Danio rerio: one gene and its partner. The protein of the gene in region 2 interacts with the protein of the main gene of each other region in a biochemical or structural test. Links are inferred from orthologs where the notes say so. Each region holds a gene or a part of one and is shown on either strand. Other genes may lie near its edges.

Region 1 (3,832 bases), on a different chromosome or scaffold from region 2:
ACTATCAATTGCAAGATTTTTTTTCCAAAAACATGGATAGTTAATAAAAGCATTTATCATTTTTAAAGGAAGAATGTAATTGTTTAAATGGTTTTAGTAAATAGTGTTTAAGTCACGTGAACCCGCTCTTTGAAGTAGCTGGTTTATACTTCCACGGCCACATCTGATCTCTGGTCAAGAAGGACTATAAACCCATTCTTGAGCTTTACTTTTGACGATTACACTGACAATGATTGTAAGCTGCGCCAGAGATGCCTTGAGATGGCATTTTTTCCTTTACAGTAAAATACTTGTTTACAGAAGATGCAAGAAATGCACTGTTTAAAATATTATTTACAGGATATGCAAGAGTTGATTTAGAAGATATATTTATGCAAGTTATTTAGGCAATGTATGCTTTAATTTCAGTTGTTTAATGTTGATGTTCAATTAATAATCATTGATAGTAGATCATTATTGATAGTAGTGTGTGTTTCCTTCAATAATTTTAAAATCAAGTAATGCATCCTTTATTCAAAAATCTCTCACTTGTAATATGTGAGCACATTTACTGTAGAAAACTTCACCGTGATCTATGAGGGCAAAAAAAATAAATAAAATAAATAAAAATAAAAAATAAATAATAATAGTTAACCGAGTTAAAATGTTTAATTAATCGAGATGTTGATTTTAAGCCAAATTGCCCAGCCCTATGTAAAAATCATCTTTAATCAAATGACATTTAAATATTTTCCCCATAAAATGATTCCTTGATGCCATGAATGTAAATGACACAGTGGTAAATAATCTTATATTGACTATTGCTGTTAGTGATTTGTGAGTTAGTGAATGTATTGAAATTCTAAAAGGACAGTTGCCTAGAAAAGAGTGCTGCTGTTATAATCACAAAAAAACTGTCAGTCGGTGACTATGTACATCGCAACATCACAAAATTCTGTTATTAAAGTGCTTTTATATAATGTTCTGTAAAAAAAAGTTAATCTCCTATTTACATAAGAGAACAAGTCAGCACTGTTCAAAACTCCAGCATTTTGATCAGTAAATGTAAATGCCTCTGATGGCCATTGTATCGAAGTAAATGAATGAACATTAAAATGTACTGGTAATTTACTTTTCATTTTATGTTTGGCTAAACAAAGTAATTTGCCTGCATTAACTCATTTGCAAACTAACTTCATTGTCTTTAAGTTCATAAAGAACAACAAAAAAAGATAGATGTTTTAAATACACCTTTTCTGCTGCCTGATTGTACGGCATACTACAAAAAAGTGACAGGTTAAGCCAAATCTGTAAATCTAGTATCTCTCCTGGTGGACTGACCTGTAGTGCAGGGTCCAGTAAGCCATGTGGATGGGCCTGAGGGCTCAGCAGCCCCAGGGATGGGGTTTCTCCAGAGCCCATCTGCGCGTACACCTTATTTAGCTCCAGGATACCTTTGGTACGTGCCAGATTCTGTAGGTGCTGTCTAAAGGCCACCAAGCCTACACAGAGAGAGGAATAAGATTATGAATAATAGCAGTGTTATTTCCGAATGATTTACAGATCATCAGACGTTCTGCCCTTAGTGTCTACATCCATGTGTGGTCATGTATTTTCAGATGGGAGTGTCAGAACTGAGGAAGTGACTCTTGTTCCCTGAAGCCCACACCACCTCTGACTGCTCCGGTGCACCACTACCACGTGACCTCACTTAACACGGCTAATCAGTCTATTTCAGGACAAGATATGTCCAGGCAGGGCTGCAAATGCTTTATTCATCGCTCAAGTACACATTAAAATGCCGTTTAGTGGCTCTTGACTCCTCTGCTGCCTATCGGAAGAGGGTAGATGGGTTGATTCTTAGGTTATTTTAGGGCTTCAAGTGATTAAGGGTAATTATTCAGGCCACAGGATGAGAGAACTCAATAGGACTGACTTGGCCTAATCTTCAAAGGGTTCTCTGATTCACACAATGAATCATCTGACAGGGGGTGGCGCATTTAGAGGAGGAAAACAAGAGAGAAACAGGGAGGGAGGGAAAGGGTGTGAAAAAAATAATAAGTGTGAGAAAATGAGAAGGAAGAGCAGAAAAATGTATTACTTTTTATATTTTTTTATATCTAATGCACATATAACAGTACAAATGTTAAAATGACTGTGATTATTAGTAAACATGTAAAATTTTACACTTGTTAAGAACATTAACATTTAATGTTAATCTATCATGTAATGTTTTTTATTTCTAATTTTGAACTATTTTTAAAATAGAAATAATATTACCAGCTGACAAATGTCACATGATTCTTCAGGAATCATAATCATTCCAAGATGCTGATTTGATGCTGAAGAAACATTTCTTCTGATTCTGATAGCTGCTAAATATTTTATTATGTATATATTTTTCAATGAAACGCAGCAAATTAAATCCCATATGAATTGGAAGTTACTGCAGACTTTTAAGTATGACGACATATTTCCAACTCAAATATTAAGGGTGTGGGGTTTTACTTTTGCAATTCTCCTCTCATTTTTCACTTGCAGCAAAGGAATGATTTGAGGGTGTTGCTAAGCATATCTCGCCCCAGGCCATCAAACTGATGTCATTCCAGAGGAGAAGCAAATGGTTAGATTTTGATTACAAACTCTTTACTTTCAGTGTAGGGCAGAGATGCCCAAACTAGGGCCTGCAGGCCAAAGTTGGCGCCTTCATGCCATCTGAGAATGGTTTAGAGAATATCATTTTAGATTTATTGTAACCTTATACTTGTTTGTTTTATAGTTAAGCTTCAATCTGAAATGGAACGTTTTAATGCAAACAGTGTAAATTTAATAAGATTTAGTTTAAAATGTACACTTGACGGAGAGAGGACAATGCAGAGACTTTGTTGAGCGAATCAAGGCAAAGACTCTCTGAATCCTAGTGTGTTCAGCATTGAACTCCACTGTGTTATAAATGTGTTGCCATAAGTTATAAAAGTTCAAAGATTCAAAATAATGCTTTCTATTTATTTTTTTAACGTTATGAAATTAATTAGAAAATTACCCATGGTGTTTTTTTAAATGTAAAACAGTTTGGTATACTTTTATTTGACCCACAGCTATTAGTAATATTTGGTTTTTGATCCTTCATTCGACAAAGTTTGGGCACCCCTGGTGTAGGGACTAATTGTTCACTTTTCAAGACTAACAACGCGCTAGCAAAATGTTGTAAAGTTTGATTTCATCCAACCTTTGAACATCAGTGAGCAATCTCACTTAGGGCTGCACAATATGTAATTTTTGTAATACCATTTATTAAGTAAATATATTATATGCCCTTCACCTTGTGTGAGTGATGTGTCTGAAGCCCTGCGGCCCTCTCTGAAGCTGATGGGAGAGCGGTTGTGCGTTTCTCTCCTCTGGGTGCTCAGTGCCTGCATGGTGGGGTTCGCGGGCCGAGCACTGATGAACGGTGGAGTCAAGCGGGTCACTGGTGTGTTGGCCAGGACCACCTCATTAAGAGAGGGCCCGTCTTCAAGCAGACTGAGGTCACTGTGCATGGAGCCCATATCATACTCTGAGTCCACGCTACCCAGAGAGGGGTTATGACCCATGCTGAACAGTTTACCTGGGTAAAGAACAGGATGACATACTTTATAAAGCATTATTGAATTGTTGAATTAACATTTGCAGCATTAGTTTACTAATAAGCCACACTGACCTCCACTTGTAATGATCCCTGGCTGGTTGGTGACCTCAGATAGTGTGTGTCTGCGCTGACCAAAGCGGGCCGTCTGGTAGGCGTTAAAAACGTGGGTATGATCATCCTCTGTGTCTGGCTCCTCCGTTTCGATACCCTCATCTATAGACGTCT
Region 2 (3,832 bases):
TCAGTCTACACCATTTGTGAACTCTGAATCACCTTAACAATCAAAACTCCACCAAGCTTTAGCAAAGGACACTCACCGTGATGTGGGCGTTGGCAGGCAGTCCCAGGGAGATGTTGGGCAAAGATGGAGAAGTGTAGAGGCTTAGGGGACTCGGTGCCCCATCGCCAGTCAAAGACTGATGCAGAGAACGTAACTGCTGTCGTAAGAGAAACGGAGAGAGAGAGATATGAGTCCCTCAGGACAAACAACAGGCCTGCATTTCAGGATGTACACTTCAAACAGCCCAACTCTAAGGAAAGAAGCTGTTTTATCTCAGGAAGGAATCCCAGACAAGAAGTCTCCGCATGGCTCGATCACTTAAAAGAGTTTTTCTTTGGAAATCCTCACTAAGTTTTATTTTTGATAGGGAACGAAGCATGTGGGAATGGCTAATCTGTATTTGGGTTTGGATCAATGCCACATGAAGATGGCAACCGATTCAGGAAATGGACTAAGCAGTTATGAGGATAATTAAAATGGGTTTTGCACAGAGTCTTTATTCTAATTTCTAATGAGCAAAAAATGACCCAAAAGAGAGCTAAGTGAGAAATGCGGAGGTGTTCCTGAGTGCTGGTAATCCCATCATCTAACCCTAGACTTGGAGTGCAGCCATTTTTAAAGGCGAAGAACAAAAACTAATGGATCTGCTTTACAAGGCAACATTTATTCATCCCCAAAGACCCAATTTAAGCTTTTCATTATGAGCTGTTCATTGAGCTGCGTCATTCTCACTCTGACGCAAAGGTTAAGAAAAGACAAGGAAGCAAAAGACAAAGCAGACATTCAATGGCAGAGCGCTGTACCTGCAGTGGCAATGATGTCAGCATTCTATTCTCCGTCGCATTTATCCATCATTTCTCCCGGGGTTGTACTGCTAGGCTACAGAGGCTCTGGAATAACAATCTAAGACTATTTTGGGGAGTGGTACGTAGCTTTTGAACGCCAGATAGAGCTAATGAGGTGATTCTTAAGTCATCTCCACAGGCGCTATTTGATGGGATCCTTTTCTGTGGTTGATGAGTCTGATGAAAGATCTATTCCAGCACACCCCATGCAAAGGGAAGCTAAAATCACATGATTTCTATCATGAAAATACAGGTCATGGAAAAACCCAACACATAATGTACCACTAGCTAAACCATTATGTAAAAATCATGTATGAATATGGTTGATTTTTTTTTGCCAATCATGCAAAACACCCCATATTTAGACTATAATACAACCAAAGCAGTACAACATAATATGAGTAATTGTATATATATTAAAGGTACATTTGTTGCCAAAAGTGATGTCTAGAGGGTTCACTAAAGTATTACTTGCATAAGGTACTTAATTGTCAAAGATATTTGTAAATAACATCATACGACATAAATAGTTATTTATACTTAGTAATTAATACTTCATTGGTTCTCCATGAGCCATCCACTGATGCACTCCTAAATAACAATGCTTCCTTGCATTATCACAAAACAACTATGAAATGTAAATAAAAAAACCTCAATTATCATCCATGTGTATGAAACAAGGCTTAAAAATAGGGATGGGTACCGAAGCTCTGTATTTTATCGGTATCGGTGCTACATTACAAAAGGCCGAAGTATTGATAAGTACTTATTCTGCTATCAGTACTGGGGAATTATTGCTGAATAATCATTACTTACAGTAGCATAATTTAACTGACCAACCTTTTCTAATTATCAATATTTGATATTCGTTAGCTCAGTTAAGAAATTTCACATAAGAAATGCTTGTGCTTCTGTATAAAAGCCTTCACAGTTTTCAGCTATGCGCACGCACTCAGTGGAGGCTCGCGCGATACGCACAAACATAGCTCGCAACACAGACTTGCGCACACACAGCTTGCAAGCTTGCGGAGTGAACCAAATGGGTTGTGTTTCCCGAGTGGACAGCGACAATGCCCGTCGCAATAAACGTAACAAGTTGTTTTCTTGTATAGGCGGAAACGCAAGCAATCTGGCTGAGTGAAAGAAGATCTTTTAAAGAATATCTTTCAAAAGTATAACATTAATAGTTAAATAAACACACACATTCGGTTTCCAAAAAACAGTATTTAATCTTAAACATTAAAAATGCTTTTACATCAGCTGTATTGACAAATATAGCCTATGGATTGCCTAATAATAAACCATGCTTACTAAGAAATTATAAAAAAAAAAGCTCATTTTTACATAATAGAATATATATATATATATATATATATATTCTATTATTTATAATCTAATAAACCAACATGTGGTCATTTATAATTATAACATATTTGTATTTTAATAAAAAATTTACTATTAAGATTATTTTATCTCTCTCAAAAAATAATTATTCAAGACAAAAAGCCAAATACATTGCACATGAAGCAATTACATGAATTATTCAGCATAATTATATGCATTTTAAATGCAAGATCAATGTAAAATAAAATGCCAAATATTTGTCTAACAAAAGTGTTTTGCTTTGCATTTAGCGACTAAGTCATCCAAAAATCAAACACAAGCTCATTCAAATCCTGTGTTCTGCCTCTACAGCTTTAAGCCTTTTCTGGCATGTGCACACTCAATTTCACTCTCTCCAGCTCTCAAGGTTAAGGTGATCCTTAAGACTAGCTGTTTAGCATGCAGAGGTGACCCTAAGCAGCTTCCGGTTGTCCATCCAGAGCAGTTGCGGCCATTCTAGAACCCATAGCAACAACTTCAAAACTGATTCCCAGAACGTGTTTTTTTTTTTTTCTTCGAGATTAACCAGTATTAGCCCAGGCCATCACAATTTATTGAGTCTTTTTCATTACTAAACTATTGAGAAACGAGTAAAATGCGTGAACAGAAGTGAAGGAAATGTGTGGGGGTAGGTCTCTCACCTCAGCGTGGATGTTTGGGACGGATCCGCTGGATCCATTCTCAGCAATGGCACAGTTTGAGCTGTTAGGAGAGCTGGGACCAGAGCCAGGAGCACTGCTGCACATAGAGGACACTGAAAACACACACACACACACAAACACACACACACACACATTTCAACAATCACATTTTAGCTGCATCATTACAAAATATCGCTGAGGATTTCACTAGATTTAGTGATTGATTGAACCCGCTTTAATGCATCAGCAGGATGTAAAACGGTTCCCTTCCTCTGAGCTGTTTTTATATTAGCAGCACAGATATCACACAATACCAGAGCCTTCATTATTCCTGTTTGCAAATCTTCACACTTCTCATCTGACGGCAGAGGTTTGTTTTTCACAGGCCTGTTTGAACAACTCAGGTGCTGATGCAACCCCAAAATTACATCTTCAATAGAAACTTTCTGTTCTGTGAAGCTAAAAGCACAACTATTTTTGATATAGTTGTGCATATGATAAGAACTACAGTACCACCTGGATTTTTCTATTCATTTATATTACTAAGGCGCTGCTAGTCGGTTGCTAGGGTGTTCTAGGTGGTTGCTAAGGCGTTCTGATTGGTTGCTAGAGTGTTCAAGGTGCTTGCTAAGGCGTTGCTAGGCTGGTCTAGTTAGTTACTAAGATGTTGCTAGGTTGTTGCTAAGGATTTCTGAATGGTTGCTAGGTAGTTGCTAGGATAGTCTAGTTAGTTACTATGGTGTTGCTAGGTCGTTGCTAAAGTGTTGTTAGGTGGTTGCTAAAGCATTGCTAGGCGGTTGCTAAGGTGTTGCTAGGTGGTTGCTAGGGTGTTCTGAGTGTTTTTTATATGGTTGCTAAGGTGTTGCTAGGTGGTTGCTAAGGTGTCGCTAGGGTGTTTTGAGTGTTTGCAAGGTGGTTGCTAAG

What was found.
Region 1: of the proteins of hdac5 (region 2) and sik2b, one has a biochemical effect on the other in vitro, tested with the Homo sapiens proteins (2 studies listed by BioGRID). The link is inferred for Danio rerio from reciprocal best matches to the Homo sapiens genes HDAC5 and SIK2.

The regions. Positions count from the first base shown.
Region 1 is NC_133190.1:24,253,417-24,257,248, forward strand, and holds part of sik2b (serine/threonine-protein kinase SIK2), read right to left. Parts: coding exon 3,680-3,832; intron 3,587-3,679; coding exon 3,302-3,586; intron 1,482-3,301; coding exon 1,321-1,481; intron 1-1,320. UniProt on the Homo sapiens protein: Serine/threonine-protein kinase that plays a role in many biological processes such as fatty acid oxidation, autophagy, immune response or glucose metabolism.
Region 2 is NC_133178.1:21,695,948-21,699,779, reverse strand, and holds part of hdac5 (histone deacetylase 5), read right to left. Parts: intron 3,022-3,832; coding exon 2,909-3,021; intron 197-2,908; coding exon 77-196; intron 1-76. UniProt on the Homo sapiens protein: Responsible for the deacetylation of lysine residues on the N-terminal part of the core histones (H2A, H2B, H3 and H4).